Arabidopsis thaliana: one gene and its partners. The protein of the gene in region 4 purifies or fractionates together with the protein of the main gene of each other region. This does not show direct contact. Each region holds a gene or a part of one and is shown on either strand. Other genes may lie near its edges.

Region 1 (5,027 bases), on a different chromosome or scaffold from region 4:
CCCTGGAGTCTGCATGTAACAAAGGAATTTGTAAGTTCAGGACTATCATAAGAACCAAAATCATGTCCCTAAATAATCATCCAGAAACTAAAACAAAAGATAGACATCACATTTTGGGAGACAAAAGTAATATATCAGCTTAACAGATGATGATGAGCATTGACCAGAGATCTTGCAAGCAAGAGTTCTTATTTTCAGAACTCAGTAACGATGGCAGATAAATCTGGCACATATCCAATTTCAGATAACTATTTCCTCTTATGCAACTTTCCCTTTTGCTTTATCTTTGCCTTTTGGTTTATTCCAATTCACTAAACACCGTTCCTCTCCATTGCAAATTCAACATAGAGGTTTAATTTCTTGACTTTTAGGTAGATTATCATCTATTCAATCAGTTAAAGATATGAATCTTGTTTTCCTTTTCAGAAACTTAGCTTCGACCTGGTCCGTATATGTTGATTAGAAAGACACAAGGACAAAGGTTTCTAAAATATCTCATGAGAAGTGCGCTAATGATGATAGGAGCTGGAAAGTCTAGCTAACTAAGCCTAAAGGTCGACTTCAACTTCAAAGAAACAAAACAAATTGGCTTTGATGGAGAAAATTGTAAATCTTCCCTAAAGTACCAGTACAGAAAAATAGGCAAACAAACAATCGATTTTTCATTTGACATATAAAAGCAAAAACATATGGAGAGAGGAAATACCCAGTTAAGATGTTCGGAAGCCTGAGCTTCATTCTGCTACGGATCTGGCTAGCAAGAGTGTCGACCAGGGCAATTCTGCCAAGTTTGCTTTGTGGAGCACCAGTCAAAATGGATTTAAGGCTTTCACTCTCAGCACGCCAAGCAGTTTCTAAAGAGTTCTCACTGCCTCCAGACTGCGCTGATGCAATTGAGACAGATTGGCCAATAAGTGCAACCCATGGAATATCAGTTGTTTTTGGAGGTCCTTGATTTGAAAGAAGCGCCTGAACTGCTGCAAGGGACTTTGGGTTCTCTGCTGCCTGATCAATTTTGCTGATAATTCCTACTGTCCTAGTACCTATAAATAAGGAGTGATGTTTTTTTTTTTGGTTATAGTATACACAAAATTTAGTTCCAATGTTTCTATCCAAATGTAGTAACCCCAGTTGTTTAGAAGTATAATGAAGGGTCTGTATAACGAAAGTGCCTATATACTCACTCTCTGGATCATACTCCTTTGCGATCTTCAGGGCTCGAGATGACGAAATTTCAGATGCCTGGCTAGCAGGCACAACAACCAGCAATATAGCATCGTTGTGCTGTGCATGTTCACCAATCTTGCAAAGAGAGGAGAGAAACAAATTATAAGATGACAATGATAATGAATCTATGAAGCCCTACAGCCAGAATGCCGAATAAAAAATGTGGAAATTCTCCATGGTTGACAGGTGGATTAGGGGGATGACAAAGGCATCAAGCAGTTCCTAAGCTTACCATAGAATCGTCCACAATTCGCTGGTCCAGTCCAGGCAAATCAATCAATTTCAGTGGTGGAGCTGCAATTAAAAGGGAAAAATATGTTATGATGATTACAGAAACCAGTACAAAACAAACGATATGTGATAATTCATGTTCCAAAGAGAACATTTAAGTTAGATCTTCATTTAGATATATAGTCCAATTTTCACAACTTAGCTTCAGATTCTACCCAAAAGAAGTTGAAGCGCTAATGTGCGTTAGATTTAGAGGTAAAAACTCATTACAGCTGAACTGTTCACTTAAGTAGGGGACATTATCCGACTTAGGCTTGGGTAATATGGATGTTGCATTAAATAGGGATTCCCATTTATGATTGTGCAAGTAGAAAGGAATTACCTGTGCTGGTACGAAGTTTTAGGTATATTTCATCACGACCCCTTCCTGAAGCTCCTTTGCTAAGCCTATCTTGTAGTGAATGCCTTAGTGCACCTGTAATACACACATTCGAAAAAAACGGAAATATTAGTCAAATATTAATCTAATGCATTGCATCTTACATGCAGAAATAGCTTCACAAATCATTGCTAAATTGCATATGTGCACATAGGGAGCTCTTACTTGCAGAAACTTGTTGATTTTTATTGTCAATTTGCAAGATTATTGCCTTGCTGCTCAGTGATTCTTCTCTACTCAAATCAATGATAATAGGAGCCCGTGTCGCACCATTCTCACCCGTCGGCTATCCATGGTAATCATAGTAGACAGGACAACACAAAGTGGTTACTTTAAGAAAATGTATCAGCCAATAGTGACATACACAAATTGCCGCGCACTCAAATTCAATACACAACTTACCAGAACTGGATGCCCAATTAGGCTATTTAGAACTGCAGACTTTCCAGCTCCCTGATCCACCAAGAAAAGTGAAATAACTTCAGTCTTCACATAAGAAATTTTTCTTTTCTAAGCCTAAGAAGTTTCAATCACAAACACATAGCAATATTTTTTCTGTCTTCCAACAGATAAGTGTTTTAGGAAACAGAGTAAATCACATACACTTTTCGTTCTGATATACACTTTCTAAAATAGATTTCTCATAGTTTCAAATAACAAACGCATCAACCTTCTCTACTATAGTAATACCTCCCAGGTTTGAATCTCATAGAATCAAATAATCCCTAATAAAGAGAGAAACGCAACAAAACAAGCTACGAACGAAGAGATGAAGAATACAAAACATCCTACCAAACTCCTAGGTTACGGGACCATTTCGAAAACACCTCATCGAGATCCACAAGATCCACGATATGGCAACAAAAATCTACACTCGATCACAGTATAAAACTTACAACAAACGCCAAATACAGTCACATCTCAGAAACAGAAAAAGCGAGAGAAAACCCACCACATTCCCTAGGGCAACGACGTTGAGAGAAGTAGCTGGCCGTCTAGAAGAAGAGGTCTCATCGGGATCTTCGTCAGCGAGCAGAGACGCCGCTTGTCTCATCGAATCCGAAAGCTGAGACAACTCATCGATCGCCTCCATCGTAACTTGCACAGCGAATCGAGGTCGAATGAAGTACGAGATCTGGACGAAGAAAGGGAGCCGCTAGATCCGATTAGAATCAATATCGGTAGCCACGAGCGGTGGATTTTCCCGGCGATTGGGTTACCGGAATTTCGAATTCGGTCGCGACGGTGCTAAGCTAGGATTTGTTTGTCTGTGTGTGTCTTCGTCGGGGAGAGAATGGGCAAGACGGGTCATATAACTTTACATAAACACGTAGTAATTAACACATTTTTCAAATTTCATAAATGTTGAAAATTATTAAGTGGTTTTTTCTTTTCTTTCATAAATGTTGAAAATTTTCACAACTGTTCAAAGAAATTCTTTACAAATGTGAAAGCATAAAACACACAAATGTGGATGCGTAAAATATAAATTAACACAACTTTTTGCTATCAATAAAGACATTCTCAGCTAAATTTGTTCGAATTAAAATATTGTAAGTGAATTTCAATGTGGTACAAGAATTTGTATCATCGAATGCGCTTGTTTGGTTGTATATTTTTCCAAATGAACAAATGCGGAAGACCACTTTGTAATCCTGATGTAGGAGACTAGTATTTTTGTAATGTTTGAGTGCGAAATGTTGAGTTGTGATCAACCGAGTTCTAAATTTATCTCCAACAGTTTAATCTCTCTAATTTGTTTCGCTAGATGGGATAAGGCATGTAAGTTATCAAATTCGTTAGCATGCTAGGTTTGCAAGTATATCACCAAATTTTGGTATTGGTCTAACTGTTTGTATATAAATTTGTGTATACCGTATTCATAAATTGCTTGTATAAATTTGTGCATACAAGTATATCACTAAATTCTAATTAAAGTAAAAGCTCAAAAAAATTATCTTAAAATCATACGCGGATAGATAGTACCAAAAGTGTATGTAAGAGTGTCATCATCATATGCATTTTTTGTTTTTGTATGAAAGATATCATCTCAATATTTCGTAAACTATATCCAAAAACAAGCCTCTATGATATGCATTAGAGTTCATTTGTGCAACTAATGGTTCATGCCATCTAACCCCACAATAGAGACCTAGCGAATTGCAATGTTTCGCTAGAGGTATGAACAGTAATCCAACCATACTCAATTTATATGGACGCATTGCTAAGGTCAACAGAAGAGCACAAACCACCAAAACTCACAGTAGGATGCAATGCTTCAGTCCTAGTATGCCAAAACTCATAACTAAGATAAGAATCCTTACCATATATATTTAGGCATTGGATGAAACGTTCAACATTTATTAATGGTTTCAGTCAATGTTCAAAAAATTTACATTGGAATTTATCTCTATTTTGGACCGTTTATGCAATTTATTCCCAAAATATTGGAAACCAAGAGAACCGGAAATAACCGATTTGGAATTCTGGTTTACCACTGTTTTCAGTATCCTCCTGTTCTCTGTACTCAATAGCCGACGACACTCTGAGAGAGAGAGCCAATCGCGATTTTGAATTTTGCATCGACGGCGAAAAATGCGATCGTTAGAAGAGCTATCTCCGATAGAAACTCTAGATATCGAAGAGAACGGTCTCGCTCTCGTCTCACGCGTCAAGCTCAATCTCACAATCCACCCAGTAGTCCCATCCGTATCCAAATCCATCGACGAATGGCAACTCAAGCGATCCTTAATAGATTACCTCAAAAACTCTGTCGTAACCTCCGTCACAGTTCCGGAGGAAGACATCGTAGTTCGTCGTCACAAGGACTTGAAGAAACGGAAGCGTGAGGAGCCAGTTGCTCATGGATCGTTGTTTATACGCGATTTAGGGTTTCTCGATGGGAAGAAGAAGAAGAAGGAGAATGATGGAGAGAGAGATGTGAAGGAATTGGAGAAGAAGTTTTTGGATTGGAGGAAGAGTTTGGTGGAGAAGATGAATGGTATTGAGCTTAATTTGGAAGGAGTTAAGTATAAGCTTAGTGTGGTACTTCCGATTTCAGATGATTTCGAGAAGTTGAAGAAGGATTGGGAGGAGTTTTACGCTTTTGGTAATCTTGGTTCTTCAATTT
Region 2 (6,176 bases), on a different chromosome or scaffold from region 4:
AAATGCTAAGTGATGGTTGTTTTCCGACTGTTGGCTCAAAAGTGTTTCTCCATGAGACAACAATATGGCCATGACAAATTTTGAAAGGACAAATATGAGTTGAAGTCGTAAAGGTCAACATGACTCGAAGATCTCTTTTTACTTTTTTTTGGGTAGAAGAAACATATGGGTTTCGTTGTAGATTCGGTCGAGAAGTGATCATGAGTTCGTCGTTGCAAACAAAGAATTGAACCTTTTACGTCAAGTTTGTTTGAAAAACATGATAATTCGTCGACTTTTCCGGTCAAAACGGTGTCCACATCACATATGACTTGGTGGATCTCTATTTAAGGAGAACAACCAAATCGCTAAACTATTGTTATATACAAAATCATGTTGGTTAAACATATCAAAGCTGATGACAGAATTAAAACGACATACAAAAACTGAGGTTATATAGTGTTGATGATATTTAGAGTGTTTATAAAGTGAGAATTAATTGAACCGAATTTATGGATCATCGCACTTAAAAAGAACTGAATAATAACAAAATCATGGAAAACAATTTCATAAGAAGAAGAAAGGAAGTAGTGGAACATATTGGTTTGGTTCGGTTTGGAGCACATGGGAATGTCGGTTCCACAGAATAACCGACCAGCAAGAGTTGGTCACAAAATAATTTACACATAAGAGTCTGCCACAAAATAAAAAAAATGTCGTATGGCTTCTCTTATTGGTATGACAGAGTCATGAAGAAATTAGTTTGGTGAATAAAAAAAGGTTGAAAAGTAAAGAGGAATATTCATTCCCATTCCCCTGATTGATGATATAAAGGACAACGTCATTTTCATTGTTTGGTTAAATTTGGTAATTACTAGATTACCACAAACTCCAATTAGCAGCACTGGCTCAAAATTCTACCACAGCTCAATCTAAACTAATTGTTATATGAATGTTAACATCAAAAAAGACCAGACTATCGACCATGTTCATGTGGTTTCAACCTCAAATAAAAATTTGAAACCGATATCAAGAGAATGAACTATACCGCTGCTAAATATTTACCATTACATAACATTATTGAACATTGAGAAACAAACCAAAGACCGTTAGAAACATAGCAAAGACTAGACTTTTCTACAAAGACAATTCCATCAAGAGTCACATCTAATTGAATCCTCTAGTGTGTCGATGATGTTATGTTCAAACAGATGAATAAAACGATCAGATTGTCTTGGACGTTATAAAGCATAAGAACATTTATTGAGACAACAAATATGGTTCAAAAGAGGACGAACGACCAAACCTTTGTTGCATTAATGTCCTCAACGTTTTTTCCAATCCAATTGGAGACTTCTTTCTCTCTCAGGTTTTTTACCAAAATATGTCTTCCCCCACCTGAAAACAAGTACTGAAAAAGAGAAGTCTTCTATAGTGTCCGTTTCTCACCCAAAATCCATAAGACCACAACCTTGTTTTTTTACTAAAACATTGAATCATAGGAATTGTCAGTAAGTTGGGAGTTTTTCAATACATAAATACGTATCCAGGACGTGTACCTACTAATACATGGTCTCTAGTACAAAACTATACGCAGAGTCACATGCATACTTTACTCATGTAGGTCACAAGTTGCTTCTAAAAGGTAGACCCCTCACATAAATCACTGACACAACCACGTGTGACCAAGAATTAACAATATCAGGACATTATACGATTGTAATACATTCAGATGCAATGTCACGAACACAAAAAAGTATATATCATCTGGTTGGTGTCTTAGGGACAGACAGATGAGGGCTGGAGAGCAAGTGACAGTACCTACAAGATTGAGAAGAGCTTCTTCTTTTCTTCTTCTTTTGTGTCTTCAGTGGGAGTTTGATGGCAATTTCCAGAGAGATTTGGTTGCGATAAGAATCTTCTCTCTTCCATGGGATTCAGGTTCTTTCTCGTGTATGGAAGAAGACCATCTTACAGCATGAGCCATTCGTGCGACTTTATCTAGCACCTCAGGAGAGTCTCGGATCACAACCTTTCCTTCTGGACGTAATATTCTGTCCATCTCTACCATTAGATCTACTAGGCTACACCTGTATGCATATCAGACAATTCAGCTTAGGTTAAGTATATAAGACAGAGACCTGTGTTAGAAATCAAGAATGGTTTTACGTTAGTTATACCTCGATTTGCTTGAGTCTTGTCGTTTTATCAGTGATTCAATTCCTGATACATGGATGAAATCATACGTGCGGGGATATGTTGAAAATGGTTCACACCTGCAACAAACAAATAATAGGGTTTTGACTATTAAGGAATTGTGACATATTTCGATCCTCATTGCTGCCAATGGCTAAGATACAGAACAAGAGAGATAACATATCTAAGTCTTTATTTTGATCAAATATATAAACAACAAATGTGACTAACCAATCATGGTAAACACCGATGAGACCTCTGTCATAAATCACGTCAAGAGTTAATGGCTTCCGAGCTGGAATGACATTCATAACCCACACAGGATCAGATGCAAGGGTTGCTGCAAAGCCTCCGAAGAATGCGTTCATGTCCATGACATTGCGGACAGTTGGAGATTTCAGCTTCAAGTTAAGAGAATCCCTGTAATAAGCAACGCGTCTTGCCCACCGCCTTGCATCTGCTTCAAACACATCCAATCCGTTTTTCATGACAATGGCCCTAGAAGGAACTTTAGTAAGCCTCTCCGGCCACTTGGATATAGTTCCCAAAGCGTGTTCTCCTTTGACGGATGATGGCCTGGTAACACACCTCTTCAATTTAAAATACCTGAAAAAGGCAAAAAAAACAAAAACAAAAACTTCAATTTTGTCTTTTACATGGTTTCAATACAGTTCAAAAGTCACATGCACATAATTATACAACAAGAAAAACGCACCATGCATCACTTGGCGGAACAGACTCATCACACAACTCAAGCCCAAACTCATTCTGGCTAGGTAGACATGAATCTCCAACAGGCTTCTTCCAGATGACAGTGTTTCCATCAACCGCAATTAGCTCATAGCACAAAGCTCTAGCCACCGCCTGAAGATCAGCCCATTCTTTGTCTTGTTTAGGCCATTGTACAGGTGGGCCAGAGATTACAAGATATCCTCCAGGGCGCAGTAACCTATCTACTTCGATGAAGTAAGTTGCATCTGCAGACAAATCACCAAACACAATAAGAATAATTGCTGCTAAAAACCGCAACACACGTACATAAGTAGAGGTATATAACCCAAGGGACTCACTGTAAGCCGTAAAAGGAATCAAACATCGGGAACAGTGCATCAGGTCAAAGGAGTATGCAGGAAAGGGGAGTCTACGAGTGCCAAGCATGGCAACAAATGCAGGCACTCCTCTTTCCAAAGCGAACTGAATTTGAGATTTATGTGAATCTCTTGGAGCAAATGAGAGGGCTAGAATGCCTTGAGATAGTAGAGTACCTCCAAAACTAGCTACCTGCAAAGGTTTACAATTAAGTATTATAACAATACAGAACCAAACGAGAAATAAAAAGACTTATGATGATTCTCACCCCGCATCCCATGTCAAGAGCAGTTCTCAAAGTTCCACCATTAAGCGGAATATACTGTGCAAGCTTTTCAATGTATTGGCCAGCTCCGCCAGGAAACATCGTGCCACCGCCTGGGAAAGTAAAGTATTCCCCTTCCCTTTTCATCCATCCTTGATGACCTTTCCGGTCAGCAATTTTGTTATATGGCATGTTTGCATGCCAAATCTACAAAGTTCAAACAGCCATCTTTAACAGTCTAACAAACACCAAGAGACATGTTTCTAACCATGCAAAACTAGACATCACCAATAAATCGAACTAGCTAATAGCTATCCTGAACTATATAATCTACAAAACCATGGTAATAGGAGCTAGAATCCAATATACCTTGTGAAGACTCTCAGGCCACGGAACAGGAATTTTATAACCAGAAGGCGGAGGAATCAAACAGAGCGGAGTCTCCTCAGGCAAAGGACAATGTCTCTCCCTATAGAAATTCATCTCTCTACTAAGCTGACTATTCCTTCTCGGATCCTCACAAGGCATATGAGCAACAGCTTCCGCAGGACAATACTCGATCGGTTGCAAATGCTGACCAGCTTCAACCAAAGTCACTAATCGCTGCCGTTGCCTCGGATCTGACGCCGTAGAGAGAAGCAGCGTTTGCCGACCAGAAGCCGCCATGGAATCACCAAGAGGAGTGAATAAAAGGATGAAGAAGAGAAGTACGATACCGAAGAAAGCAGCGGTTACGATGTCGAGGAGACGCCATTGACGAGGGTTACCACGCTTTGATGCAGGTAGATTCACGTGTCCCATAGCTTTAGCTTCAACCAGTACTCGAAGCTTTCGTCTTCGAGAGCAGATCAGATGCAAATCTTAGGGTTTATAATAAGATTCAATTTTGGAGATCTGAAGAATTTGTCGGCGATTATAAAATATTACTATTTCGCAATCCGTTGTGTGAGTGTGATCAAAATCTCATTTAGTTTTTTCTCAGTGCTTTAGTAAGCGTCTCTGGTGTCTGGCGAAGCACGGTGAATACATAAATTGATTTAAGAATATTATAAAAAAAAATGGAATGTTCCGTTGATTATAGTTTTTTTAACTTTTTGAGGCTAATGGATTTGGGCCTTGAAATGTAATTTGGGCTGGCTTATGAGAAATAATATACCAGTGGATCGTCCTTTGACGGTCAAGATAGAACATTCAGATTACATTATAGTATAGGCGTTCGTTTGAAAGTTCGGTTCGGTTCGGTTTGATTTCAGTTCTTTCGGTTTTAAAATGTAGTATCCATTCGGTTATTTTGCTTTAAATATTTTCGGATCTTTCAATTATTTTTGGATATTTTCGGATATTTTTGTTATTTTCGAGTTTTTTACTATTTTATATATATTCTCAAGTATTTTTAATTATTTATTCTAGATATAACTAATACTTTTGAAAATATATTTATATTTCGGATATTATCGGTTACCCAAAATATTATATTTCTGTTTGTATCCATTCGGTTTCAGTTATTTCGGTTACAGAATTTATTATCCATTTGGTTAATTTCCAATTTTGGTTCGATTTGGTTTGATTCAGTTTGGTTTATTTGCCGAGGCCTATATTACAATAGATACGAGATTTTTTGGTTAATTACATTTGGATGAAACAATACGAAGCCCAAAGCAAACGAGTGAAAAAAATAGAAGAAAGCTCACATTGGTAAATGGTAATCAAATTTCTGTTTGGCAAATATTGATCCCTTCATATCCTTGCGTGACATAGGATGATAGGAAGTTAGACGTACGTAGATCAGCCACAACGCTTCTAGCAACTTCATGCGTTCCTGTGTTGATGTTCAAAGATAGACCTGTTTGGTTTGTCTAGTGAAAGACAGCAACAAAAAGAGATAAATGTTACATTCTCCAAATGCAAGCTCTTCATACTATCTAAAGCAGTAAATCCCAATTCATGCTAGTATATTCTCATACTATTCCTCTAAGATCGTGTATAGATACTACTAGAATCAGATATGCATGATCTTATATCTCTTGTAAAGAATCTTACTTGTATCATTTTCTTAATTCGTGAAAAAGAGATTTCTCTTTCTCTCTACATGGAAGATAGCTTATTCAAACATATGAAAACATAAAATAATCAATTTACGCGTCTTTCTGATTTTTGTCATATTAGGTTAACCGTGGCGTTGGCTATAATAATAGCAACTGCAAATATCTTTCAATCTTTTTGGAAATTGAATTCCACTTTTTATAAGACAGTACTCACACACACAACACTAGTCCACATTCCATATTGTACAACGTTGTAATAAATTCCGTCGAAGCCATTCACGTGCTACGCGTCTCCGGAGCGTCGCTTGGGATAGTAATCATCTGAACAAAATACTTTAGTATCACCATCATGGATGGACCCATAGTATCACTAATCAGTTGCAAAGTAAATTTAGATTTCTATTTTAAGAGTATCTCTTTAAATGGTATCAATTTATGACGATACCCAAAAAAATAGAACAATTCAATAGAGATTTTCTATTTAATAGTACTTAATAATTATGGATTAACTTCCAAAGCAGTGCCAACTATACAATAATAACCAAAGACCATTTTTTCAAAATAACATTGTTAAATTAATAGATCGATTTATGGAAAATTAG
Region 3 (5,618 bases), on a different chromosome or scaffold from region 4:
TCTCTAAGAAACTAAACCTTGAGATTCACATATATATCACTCGACAATCCGAGCCTCGCTTGGTACGTCTTAAATAAGTCTTTTGGGAGCTGCAATAGGCCTTACTAAGCTTGTTGAACTCTTTAATGTTTCATGGTTATACAGGAAGATGGGATGGTTCACAAGGTGGTGCATCCTTCTGTCAAGCTACCACGGACCAACGGATGTTCTATGTCGGTACTAGTTGGTACAGGGGATAACATATGGTCTGGACTCTATCTAATTATATCCACCATTGGATTTATTTCAATGATCACATTGTTGGACATCTTTTACATAAAAAGATACAACATAACAACGTGGTGGTACAAGGGACTTCTATTTGTTGGTTGTATGGTTGCAAGTGTCTTGATTTTTGGAGGTCTTGTGGTTGTTTTCTGGCATCGCTGGGAACACAAAACCGGTGAAGTGGAAGCAAATGGCAACGACAAGGTAGATTTGAATGGAGAAGAAACCCATAATCCATCTGCAGCAGAGCTTAAGGGCTTGGCAATAGAAGAAGATGTCCAGAATTACACCACTATTCGTTATGGCACCAGACCGGCCTTTAGAGGTATACACTACAAAATTAGCGGTGTCAAGTCCAGTTATCTCGTTTTTTTATTTATAAAATTATAGAAACTGAAATCATTCGGAACGGTTTGACACGGTTTCGTTCGGTTCTTGAATCCGACTTTTGGTGTAGATATTTGGCTCGATTCGGTTAAGTTAAATCTTTGATTGGTTCATGTAATATTTTTATTTTGTAATTGCAGAGATATTTGAGTCATTGAATGGGAAATGGGGGAGTGTGGATGTTGGAGTGATAGTATGCGGTCCAGCGACTCTTCAGACGACCGTAGCCAAAGAAATACGGTCACATAGCATCTGGCGATCGGCGAATCATCCTCTTTTCCACTTCAACAGCCACAGTTTCGATCTCTAACGATGCTTTCAAGGCCAAAGAACATTATGGAAGGAAATTCGAAGACAAATTGATGCATATATTTTAGGTAATCTCTGTCAGTATGTACTATGGAAACAGCTATGGTTGATATGTGTATGTTTATCTTTCAGTTTTCGATGTATAAAGTAGAAATCAAATGTATGAGCATCTATGGTTTCTAGTTCTACACTTGTTGGTGTTTCTACATTGGACATTTAATATTAATTAAATGCAAGCTGATAAGTCCTATAATTACATAGCTGCCCATATATTTTCGGAATTTTTTAAAGTAGAGATATATTCATATATATATGAGGGATTAGATTCTATAATTACGAATGTATTTAATTTCAAATTAAAAGTTAGATTCTCATAATTCTCCTTACTTACTCTGTGAGGGATTAGAGTCGTAAAAATGACCACAAGATGTAATTTTTTTTTAGGTCATTGATCTACCATCAATTTGTCGGACACACTTATCTTATAAGTTTTAAATTTTAACAAATGTAAGTGAAATTTTGTGGTAGACTATCATTTTCAAGTAGAAGTAGAATTTAAGTAACCTTCCTTGTTATAATTTTTTTTTAAAAATTATGTCATTACTTAGAGCCCACCAGAAATGATGACGTGTAAAACACCATAATCATAAAGGATAAAATAAAATTATCATCCCACCGACAGTTTATTAGCGGAGATGTCTTTTTCCATCCACCCGACATTAGCCCATTGCTTTACTAGTAAACAAAGTATATGCAATTTTTTGTTAGAAAAAACGGTGCATAAAAAATAATATTTTAATGTCTCCGACAAATTTTAATTGTATGAAAAATAAATACACAAGATTACAAGTTGGCCAAAACGCTCAATCATAGTTGGCCAAAAATATACTATTCCAAAATTAGAGTTAGCTGTAACGTAACATGTACAAATAAACCAAACAAAACATATAATAACAAAATAATTGAAGTGAGTTTTAAAAAGGAAAAAAAAAAAAGAGTAAAAAACCAAAACCAGATCTCTCAAAGAGTCTTTGTACATTATTGACTAGAGAGAGCTTTTTAGCTTCACATTTCTTCACTTCCACACACTTTTACTTCTTTCTCTCTTCTCTTCTCTTCTCCAGATCTGATCCCAAACCTTTGATTCATTGTTGTTGTTCTCTGCTGCTTTATCAGAGAGCATCATCATGTACGGAAGAGATCCATGGGGAGGTCCATTGGAGATAAACACTGCAGATTCCGCCACCGACGATGATCGTAGTCGGAATTTAAACGATTTGGATCGTGCGGCTCTTTCACGTCCACTAGATGAGACGCAGCAGAGTTGGTTACTTGGTCCAACGGAGCAGAAGAAGAAGAAGTACGTCGATCTCGGTTGTATTATCGTTAGCCGCAAGATCTTCGTCTGGACTGTTGGTACTCTTGTTGCCGCCGCGTTACTCGCCGGATTCATTACCTTGATCGTTAAAACTGTGCCGCGTCATCATCCTAAGACTCCGCCGCCGGATAATTATACTATAGCTCTACACAAAGCTCTTAAGTTCTTCAATGCTCAGAAATGTAAGTGTAGAATCTACTTAGATCTGATAAAATTTAGATATAGAGTTTTAGATCTAAGTCTGATTTTGATTGTTGTAGCTGGGAAATTGCCAAAGCATAATAACGTGTCATGGAGAGGTAATTCTGGGCTTCAAGATGGGAAAGGTGAAACAGGAAGCTTCTATAAAGATTTGGTGGGAGGTTATTATGATGCTGGTGATGCTATCAAGTTCAATTTCCCCATGGCTTATGCTATGACTATGTTGAGCTGGAGTGTTATTGAATATAGTGCTAAATACGAAGCTGCTGGTGAGCTCACTCATGTTAAGGAGCTTATCAAATGGGGAACTGATTACTTTCTCAAGACTTTCAATAGTACTGCTGATTCCATTGATGATCTTGTGTCACAGGTACTTGTTTATGACCTTCGTAGGAGATCTTTCATATTGAGTTGTTTGTTCACTCGTTACATGTTTAATGTAGGTTGGATCAGGGAATACTGATGATGGAAATACAGATCCTAATGACCATTACTGTTGGATGCGACCTGAGGATATGGACTATAAAAGGCCCGTGACTACTTGTAATGGTGGATGTTCGGATCTCGCTGCAGAGATGGCAGCTGCTCTGGCTTCAGCATCTATTGTATTCAAGGATAACAAGGAATATTCTAAAAAGCTTGTCCATGGTGCTAAGGTGGTGTATCAGTTTGGAAGGACGAGGAGAGGGAGATATAGTGCAGGCACTGCGGAATCTAGCAAGTTCTATAATTCAAGTATGTATTGGGATGAGTTCATTTGGGGTGGTGCTTGGATGTATTATGCTACCGGAAATGTAACGTATCTCAATCTAATCACCCAACCTACTATGGCCAAGCATGCTGGTGCCTTCTGGGGTGGCCCTTACTATGGTGTATTTAGCTGGGACAACAAGCTTGCTGGTGCTCAGGTCAGTCCACACATAACAACCTGCTGTGTTTATGTTTCTTAGATATTCATGTCTTCTTGATCATTTGCCTTAACCATACTACTCTTGACTCTTTTGAATCCCTTTTGCGATTTTAGTTGCTGTTGAGCCGGTTGAGGTTGTTTCTGAGTCCTGGATATCCATATGAAGAAATTCTAAGGACCTTCCACAATCAGACCAGCATAGTCATGTGCTCATACTTGCCTATTTTCAACAAATTTAACAGAACCAATGGTTAGTTACCTTCCAGCTTTAATGTCTGCCTCTAATAAAACTCCAACTGTGGGGCTTGTTCTTGTTTCAGATATCTAAAATGAAATCTTTGGTATGTGCAGGAGGTTTAATAGAGTTGAATCATGGAGCTCCACAGCCGCTGCAATATTCTGTAAATGCAGCTTTCTTAGCGACTCTATACAGTGATTATCTGGATGCTGCTGATACTCCTGGATGGTACTGTGGACCTAATTTCTATTCGACAAGTGTGCTACGTGACTTTGCTAGATCCCAGGTATTGCTTCTTTTCCTTTACTCTTTACAGAAATGGTAATCTCAGATATAGTAATGGATAAGATCCAAAAATGACACTTTTAACCAAGATTGTACGAAGATCTTTTTAAACTCCATTTTTTATTTTGACATCTAAATTGGATTTAACTCGGCCTTGCTGTATTTTGGCAGATTGATTATATACTGGGTAAAAACCCTCGGAAAATGAGTTATGTCGTTGGTTTTGGCACAAAATACCCAAGACATGTGCATCACAGAGGAGCTTCGATACCCAAGAACAAAGTCAAGTATAACTGCAAAGGAGGATGGAAATGGAGAGACAGCAAGAAACCAAACCCAAACACGATTGAAGGAGCCATGGTTGCTGGTCCTGACAAGCGCGACGGGTACCGTGATGTCCGTATGAACTACAACTACACTGAACCGACTCTTGCAGGCAATGCTGGTCTAGTCGCAGCTCTTGTGGCATTATCGGGTGAAGAAGAAGCCACCGGTAAGATAGACAAAAACACTATTTTCTCAGCTGTTCCTCCTTTGTTCCCTACTCCACCACCTCCACCAGCACCATGGAAACCTTGAGAAAGCTAGACTTGTGTGATTCTGTCGCTGCTGCCAAAAAAAATGAATGAGGTAAGAAGGATTTGGGTGTGAGACCAGAAGATTAGAAGCTAAACACAAGTCAGCCATAACCAAACTACTAAGGATTTCATTTGGCTTTACTAGATACAAACACGGGGTGGGTTACTTTACCACAAGCATTGTCTTTCTTTTCTTTTTTTGGGTTGCTGTTTTGTTCTTGTGAGATATCATATATATCTATGCGTTTTACTCTGTATATGTTTGATACCAAACTTGTATTCTTTGATAAACAATTTAATGAACTGTATTAAACTTTTAACTATGTTTTATTGTGCAAGTGTGAGATCAACCTGGAATAACAACTGTAGTCTACTAAAATACGTGATTCTAGCATGCATTTACTCATTTAATGGATATAAACGATGATGCAGAAAGAATATTGCAGTAAAGAACGGAATTACATATGGCATTCTTTATACATGATGAAGTTGTATTCACAGAGATCATGGAGAAACCCAAATTAAACTGTTATCACAGTACACAGGCGAGATGTGTTCGAGAAGGCGTCATCGTCAATCAAACGAGCTTCGATATTACATGACATGACGCCCAAAAGGCCTTTGATGCAACCCTCAGGATCACGGGGTTTTGATAGATCCTGTCGGTGAAATGAACAAAATAAAAATGCTTGGTGAGAACGATAAACAATGGGACTATTAGATTTTGCAATGTAGAAGATGACTAGATGATATTATACCCTATAACAGTTGCGCTCCATGACGCTACGTTGTAAGCAACCTTACTTCCATCCCAGGCTTTCCGAAGTTTCCCCTTTCTATTCTTCACTGAGAACATCCTGCTAAGTGCTACATTACAATTCAAACACTAATGTTACAGTTTTACTACTAATCTGATATGCCACCACTGATCAACTTCACACATAATCAACATCAAAGAAAATAACTTGGCGACTTAATGGTCTTTGTTTGTGTCAGCGCAATAACAAGCTTCCTAGTTGAGTTTTAAGATTGGAACCGGTAAACTCTATTTCTTACTGAATTGTA
Region 4 (6,996 bases):
CTCTATACGGATATAACATTATACCTACACTGCACTTTATTTACATAGTAATCAATGTCTTTCTTGATTTGTACGTTACCTCAATTAGGGGAAAAACTATCAGCTCAAAATTAAAGTACAAGGACTGTAAAGGTTGCGATGGATCCATTTACCTCTGTGCTTTAAACTATTGAGACCATAGTTGTCGACAAAGTTATTTGGTGCGTTTGGATTTGTGAAGTGTGGATTGGTTTTTGTGCAGCTTGTGTTTTTTTTATAACAATGTTTCTGCTTGAATCATTTAACATGTGCAAGGATGCGAAACTTTCTTTACTATTTAGTGTAGCTTCCTGCTGTAATGTTGCTACAGACACATTGTATGGTCAAAGTTTCTTTACTATTTACTATTTAGTTTCGCATGAGCAAGGATGCGAAACTTTAACCTACCGAGGAAAGGGCCTCCTCCGCTATTGCAACAGACACACTGTCTGAGAGAAATCCTTCATAAGACCTGATTGTTTTTGCTTTCTGAGAAGAAGCTTCAACACCATGGATAAATGTACTGTGCAAACTAGTTAATAAGAAATAGATTAAAAAAAATCTTATCGCCTTCTATTTTGGTACGTCACAAAAGTAAAGAATAACAAAGAAACTACATGACAAATTGGAAAAACAACGCGAGGAAAAGAATGGCACATCTCTTTGCCAAAAATCATATACAACATATCAAAGTTCTTTCACATCCTCTTTTTTTTTTTTTTAATCATATCAAAGCTTTTCAAATCACCATCATCACGTCTCTTATAATCAATTTGGTATGGCTTCTGCATGCTTCTTCCCCTTCAGCATTTCTCCTGCAATGCATTCGGGTTTATTTACCCAAAAAATTGAGATGTTGCACTCTAAATCTTTTCTTTGCGTGTGACCTTGCTTCTAAAAGCATTGGCCGTGTAGCTACTTACTCATCAAGGATTCACGTTACAGTCACTCAAGAACCGATCTTCCCGACTCAGATGCCTTCTCCAATAGTTTTTGTAATTTGGGATTCCCAGCTCAAGCCACGGCTTCATGTTCCCGTTATAGTGCAATATGGCTGCGTTTTTTATGGCTTGTGCATTGATGTAGTAGTCATAACCAAGCCCTGATAGAGCCCATTTGTCGTCAAGAGCATATACTTGGTCTTGAAATGTGAGCAAGCTTGCCTGCAATGCAATTGCTTCGCTCGACTCATCTCCACTACTCATCTGCTGCACATGAAAAAAGGAAGTCATTGCTCAGAATCACCCAATTATCTCTTACAAAAGGTTTTTCAGGAAACTGACCTCTTTATAATATTTTTGATAGGTTTCTGAAACACCCAATGCCCTCCATCTAGCAAGATCAACGACATTCAAACCAGACATCCAGAGACAAGCATTGGTATCAAAATTTCCTCTCTTGAGACTCCTTAGCTGACCCAATCTCACAGTGCACGACTTAACAGCGCCATTCACTTTCCCTTCCATATCAAGGTCCCAAAGGGGAGATAAGTCTCGCTGGACTACAACGTCATCATCCAGAATCACAACCTTCTCCAATTTGTCAAATAATTTGGGAAGAAGATAGTGAGATTGAGAGAAAAGGGATAAGTAGTGTGTTCTATTCTGTTGAGACGCCAAAAGGTCACCACTGGGGAAGGAAACACGGAACTCCGCAGACAAAGACAGTTTCATATCAGAATCGTCCAGCTCGAGTTTTTCAATGTTCAATACTTGAACAGTTGATTGTTTGCAAGGATTCCTAATAAACCATTGTTTCATTGCAAAGTAATTCTGCTCGTCTGTCAGTACATGGAAAACAAAGTTTTTACTGTCCTGAAACATCAATAACCAACCAAGAATTAGAAATCAGAGTTCTATGACTGCATGAAAAAAAATACTAAGTAAAGAAAACTGGATTTAAGACGCACCCTTGCATGTACAACCGTTGAGTTGATCACAACGGACGATGCTAGTATATTATCGGAGATGATAACAAAGTGAAGTAATGAGGGATCTGAAAATTTCTCACTAATGGGATCCTCAAGTGAATCTGACTTGAAATGTTCCACAGTTAGTCGCATTGACAAGCAATGAAGACTCTTAGGCATTGTCTGTACTGCAAGCTGGTAGAGGAACACACTCTGTTTCATGTGGAAACTAGCTTCATCCTCAGTCAAATCAAGGATCTGTCTCAATTTCTTGTCAACATTGTTACAGTCGACTGGAAAAGACTTTGCCTTTGCAATTACAGCTTCCATCTTCTGCAACTTTTTATCAACCCTGACACAACAGTGTTAAGAGATACCCAGTAAGTACGTTTAAAGAAATTAGCATAGGATTCTACACATCAAAGCTTCTCTTGAGAGAGAACAAACAACATCCATGGCGTCCTCCTATCATCTAGTACATTAGTTTACTAAATTATACATTGGTTTAAGATATTGAGACCGATAAGGCTTCAAAATAGTGATATTTCTGGATGTGCTGCCCACTGGATAGGTGAAGAGAGAATGTTATGATAAATATTTTCTATACCATAAACCATCTGAAAGCAAGTAAACCACTAGAAAACAGGATGTCCAGACAAACTGAAGGCAAACTAGGAGAGATTCATGTGACTAGAATCCAACAAAATCTTTTCCAGTAAGGAACTAACTTTCAGTACAAAAATGATTAAACCCAAACTGGTAGAGAACTTACTGTGGTGGAAGGTCAGCATCTTGAGAACTTTCACTAAGAATACGCTCAAACTCTTGGATATTCTGTTTCATATCCCGAGTCAACTTGCTTTGAGAAGGCATTTTAGCAATACTGGGATAGTATGCTCTAGCCACAAACAGCTGGTCCTTCATTTGCTTCACCTTGGCATCTTTCATTGGTTCCTTATTTTCCTCCCTCCAGAGGCAGTAGCTCCCATATTTCACTTCACAAGTTCTCCAAGTTTCATCACCACTTACTATTTTCCTCTGAACACCTGTATATGAGGCTTCCGATTTTGTTTTCTGTTCACAGAAGAAAGCAGAGTAAGGTTAACGTTAAATGATTGGTGAGAGATATAAAGATGTCTACTAAGGAAACCACTTAATATATTTGTACATTTGCAGGGCTTGGATTGGCAACAACAGTTGGGGACACTGGTAATCCTGCAGATTAATGGAGAGACCAGACGTAAAGTATCAGACCAGAATCAATATAAAATAATGGAAGAGGAATTTCAAGAAAGTGAAGCTTGTAAAGCAGACCTCTTTTTTTAGAATCAGTGCCGCTTGTTGCATTCACATCTCTGGAACCCACGTTTATGTCGCTTTTCTAGCATGTGATACAATAAAACAAAACATAAGTATAGAAATTGTTACAAACAGTTTAACCATCTCACCCAAGGAACTAATTCTTGACCTTGCCCAAGACAATTTGAGATACATTAAGCAACATAATTCATGAAAGTATTTCAACTTTCTAGTCTCATGAGATAGTCAAATATAAAAAAAATAAAGAGATCATTCATCTAATTTCTCTACCCTTTAAGCAACATCACACAAAATATACGGCAACTGATTAACTACAACCTTTTGACCTATAGTTTGTTTGTAGTGCCAGTAAAGTTTCCAGATTCACTGGCTAATATTAGCATTGGCATCTTGCATAGCTTTCCATGAAACGAAAAGGCATCTAAGTTTTTTCTAATGTTAGCATTGACATCTTGCAAGAATACTGTGGCAAACCTGATACAAAGCCTATACATTTACAAATAGCCCTATTATCTGTAATCAAACTACAAAGCCTATATATTTTACACCACTTGAAAGACAAGATGTGAAACATTAATGCCAATAATTATGACAGAAACATACTTCAATAGTTGAAAATTAAACATATATAGACCAGATCTGAAATGTGTGTGTCAATTAGAGAGCAGTGTGTAAGATAATGAAGTGCTTCCAACCACCATAAATGCTTTGACTCTATGGGTACATGAAAAGATCTAAAATTTCTGTCAAAAACTACTAATCTATAACATAAATGGAACAGGTCAAGGCCTTTAATCCACACTGAAACAAGTGGAACCAACCTTGGGAAGAACTGGATTGATTTTTTGAAGAACCTCATCGACCCGTTCGGATACATCTCTCTGCAAAACCAAAGAAAGAATATCAAAAGCAGCAAAAAGATTTTGGTATAAAAAATGAGAATCGAATCAATCAAAGGAGAGTGACATTACCTGTGTATGCTTAGTAGCATTGATTCTGGTAAAGCTCTCAAACTGATTCCAAAAGAAAGAAGATTCAGAACAAAATCAAAACACACCAAAACAAACACACAAAGAAACGAGAAATTGCTTACTGAAGAAGCCGGTTGAACAGTGACAAATCCTGAAAAAGTGAAAAAGATGAGATTAGATCTGAAACAGAGATCGGCAGAAAAAAAGCAAAGAGAGTGTTAGAGAGAGAATGATAAGAGATACCAGGAGAGTGAAAGCCATTGTGAAGACCGAGTAAGAAAGCAAGAGGAACAAGCATAGAAAGAATAACAAGAACCAAAACTCCAATCACCAGAACTTTCCACCGGCGTTTTCCTCCGCCACCACCTCCTCCACCACCGCCTCCGCCTTTCATATTCCCGATTTAGAATTGAATGAAATGTCTTTCCCAATTACGAACGCATTGGATCCCCAAAACGTTGCCAACGATCTCTCTATCAATGTCTCTCTCTGTTCTCGATACACTCAAATCATACTCTCGTCGAATTCTCTGTGTGTGTGTTGTGTTGCAGAATGCACAAGTATAAGTGTTTCTGCACTTAGCCCGATCGCATCGTCTCTTTCCCCTTTGCTTTTTGCTACTTGGAGGAAGAGAGAGAGAGATACACACACATACACACATACACACACACACACACACCTCTTTTTTTTTCACACGTGTGGCTATGTCTCCGCCGTTTATTATTTAACCCACTTGCAAGATCTATCTCCAGATCATAACACGTGTCTTTTCTCACACGGTGGTGAATTCTTTTTACTTTTTTTGTTAATCATCATCGTTTTATATTGTCACTCGTTGAATCCTAAACTCCGGTATGCCTAGCGATATTTTTCAACGCCATTGACGACGCTTTATATACCACTGGTAAATCTCTCCTCTGTTTTTTCCTATTTTCCGATTTCTTCTTTGTTAAGAATTCTATGTATGATGAATTTAGCTGAGTGAAGAAGATGAATTTTAGCTGAGTGAAAGCTTATGATAGTCTGGTGAAATCTTTAATCCATTTAGGTTCAATCTGGTGCAAGTTTGTTTTTACTGTATTATGCGCCTCTTTATTTGTTTGTGTGGATGTAATGAAGAGTATGGAGCTAAAAGGATCAAATTATGGTTTTATTCTAGCTTAGGCTGACCTGTCTAAGGTTCTCTTGTCTGGTCTGTACTTTTACATTGACTTTTTTCTTGTGCTTGATTTGAATCAGTGACTGTTCTTTTAGTTTTGAGTATGTTAATGATCGCGAGGAAAGCTTTGGCCTCGGCGCATACTAAGGCGTTTCGTTTGGCAACAAGGGATGTACATTGCTTTAGTTCCATCTTAGTGTCTCCTCCTCTCGTGTCACTTGACTTGCCTGAAAATTGGATTCCTTACTCTGATCCTCCACCTCCTGTTTCCTTTGGTAATACTCTTTGTTGCATTTTCATGGCTATATATATATGTTACAAGAAAATTCTCTAATTGTATGAGTTGATTTCTGTGTGTATGCATTTATACAGAGACTGAACAGAAGACTGTGGTGATAGATGGTAATGTTATCGCTGAGGAAATCAGAACAAAGATTATTAGTGAAGTGGGGAAGATGAAAAAGGCTGTTGGAAAAGTCCCTGGTCTTGCTGTTGTTTTGGTTGGTGAACAAAGAGACTCGCAAACTTATGTTCGCAACAAAATTAAAGCTTGTGAAGAAACTGGCATTAAATCTGTTTTGGCTGAATTACCAGAGGATTGTACTGAAGGACAGATTATCAGTGTATTGAGAAAATTCAATGAAGACACGTCTATTCACGGAATTCTTGTGCAACTTCCTTTACCCCAAGTATGTTTCTCATTTTTTTCTTTGGACGTTGTGATGGGGGATGTTAGTGTTGTTGATGTCAAAGATTAGTTCTATGTTAGGAGGTCAAGTAGTTACGTTTACTTTGTTTTCATACTTGTATGTAGAAATTCTTGATTCATATATTTTCATCGACCATGGACTCATGCATAACATTTTCCCCTTTAAGGTTTCCTTTTCGTTGGTAGGTAAAGCATTTAATTTACAGGTTATGCGATAGAGCATCTTACTTGTGGAGCTCTTTTTCAGGAGAACGTTCTTGTATTTTGTTGGTTTCCTTTCCTTTTTTTTTTTTTTTCTCATGAGTCCAATCATTTAATGGAAGATATCTTGTACAGCATCTTAATGAATCAAAAATCTTGAATATGGTGAGATTGGAGAAAGATGTTGATGGGTTTCATCCATTAAACGTGGGGAATCTTGCAATGAGAGGGAGGGAACCGCTGTTTGTATCTTGCACTCCTAAGGGCTGTGTGGAGTTGTTGATAAGAACGGGTGTTGAAATAGCAGGAAAAAATGCTGTGGTCATAGGCAGAAGCAACATCGTTGGACTACCAATGTCTTTATTATTGCAGGTATTAGTTCTTCTTTATAGTTCAAGTGGATTCTTATGCTTAAACATTTTGGTTTGGGAATTAACTATGCATTTATGTTTTCTGAAATTCTCGGATAGAGGCATGACGCGACAGTAAGCACGGTGCATGCGTTTACAAAGGATCCAGAGCACATTACTAGGAAGGCGGATATCGTTATAGCAGCAGCGGGTATACCTAATTTAGTTCGTGGAAGTTGGCTTAAGCCTGGAGCAGTTGTCATTGATGTTGGAACAACTCCAGTCGAGGTAAAAACGAAACTATTTTCCTTAACTGATCAAAAGTCTTAATACTTTCCAATGAAAAAAGACTTATACCA

What was found.
Region 1: the proteins of GAUT7 (region 4) and DL3 purify together in Arabidopsis thaliana (affinity purification with mass spectrometry, with the first as the bait; one study listed by BioGRID). This does not show direct contact.
Region 2: the proteins of GAUT7 (region 4) and QUA3 purify together in Arabidopsis thaliana (affinity purification with mass spectrometry, with the first as the bait; one study listed by BioGRID). This does not show direct contact.
Region 3: the proteins of GAUT7 (region 4) and GH9A1 purify together in Arabidopsis thaliana (affinity purification with mass spectrometry, with the first as the bait; one study listed by BioGRID). This does not show direct contact.

What each region holds. Positions count from the first base shown.
Region 1 is NC_003070.9:21,891,376-21,896,402, reverse strand, and holds the start of DL3 (dynamin-like 3), read right to left. Parts: upstream 3,262-5,027; 5' UTR 2,991-3,261; coding exon 2,850-2,990; intron 2,351-2,849; coding exon 2,300-2,350; intron 2,184-2,299; coding exon 2,063-2,183; intron 1,934-2,062; coding exon 1,841-1,933; intron 1,522-1,840; coding exon 1,460-1,521; intron 1,303-1,459; coding exon 1,185-1,302; intron 1,044-1,184; coding exon 707-1,043; intron 10-706; coding exon 1-9. Other genes in the region: ZCW7, read left to right, coding at 4,493-5,006. UniProt on the Arabidopsis thaliana protein: Putative microtubule-associated force-producing protein, able to bind and hydrolyze GTP. Collaboratively with DRP1A, participates in clathrin-coated vesicle formation during endocytosis.
Region 2 is NC_003075.7:305,969-312,144, forward strand, and holds QUA3 (S-adenosyl-L-methionine-dependent methyltransferases superfamily protein), read right to left. Parts: upstream 4,517-6,176; 5' UTR 4,331-4,516; coding exon 3,899-4,330; intron 3,737-3,898; coding exon 3,533-3,736; intron 3,457-3,532; coding exon 3,246-3,456; intron 3,153-3,245; coding exon 2,891-3,152; intron 2,782-2,890; coding exon 2,407-2,781; intron 2,256-2,406; coding exon 2,160-2,255; intron 2,070-2,159; coding exon 1,847-2,069; 3' UTR 901-1,846; downstream 1-900. UniProt on the Arabidopsis thaliana protein: S-adenosyl-L-methionine (SAM)-dependent methyltransferase (MTase) which mediates the methylesterification of the pectin homogalacturonan (HG) and thus regulates cell wall biosynthesis, at least in suspension-cultured cells.
Region 3 is NC_003076.8:20,196,701-20,202,318, reverse strand, and holds GH9A1 (glycosyl hydrolase 9A1), read left to right. Parts: upstream 1-1,850; 5' UTR 1,851-2,150; coding exon 2,151-2,523; intron 2,524-2,601; coding exon 2,602-2,912; intron 2,913-2,985; coding exon 2,986-3,450; intron 3,451-3,566; coding exon 3,567-3,702; intron 3,703-3,803; coding exon 3,804-3,976; intron 3,977-4,146; coding exon 4,147-4,554; 3' UTR 4,555-4,928; downstream 4,929-5,618. Other genes in the region: FRO6 (ferric reduction oxidase 6), read left to right, coding at 1-62, 145-592, 795-964; AT5G49710 (RING finger protein), read right to left, coding at 5,131-5,212, 5,312-5,420. UniProt on the Arabidopsis thaliana protein: Required for cellulose microfibril formation. Involved in cell wall assembly during cell elongation and cell plate maturation in cytokinesis. Required for secondary cell wall formation in the developing xylem.
Region 4 is NC_003071.7:16,160,912-16,167,907, forward strand, and holds GAUT7 (galacturonosyltransferase 7), read right to left. Parts: upstream 4,966-6,996; 5' UTR 4,613-4,965; coding exon 4,462-4,612; intron 4,370-4,461; coding exon 4,341-4,369; intron 4,261-4,340; coding exon 4,219-4,260; intron 4,129-4,218; coding exon 4,069-4,128; intron 3,309-4,068; coding exon 3,242-3,308; intron 3,143-3,241; coding exon 3,096-3,142; intron 3,002-3,095; coding exon 2,700-3,001; intron 2,280-2,699; coding exon 1,928-2,279; intron 1,833-1,927; coding exon 1,302-1,832; coding exon of another isoform or gene 1,275-1,301; exon of another isoform or gene 1,224-1,274; coding exon 945-1,223; 3' UTR 544-944; downstream 1-543. Other genes in the region: AT2G38660 (Amino acid dehydrogenase family protein), read left to right, coding at 5,481-5,652, 5,750-6,066, 6,423-6,659, 6,758-6,925. UniProt on the Arabidopsis thaliana protein: May be involved in pectin biosynthesis.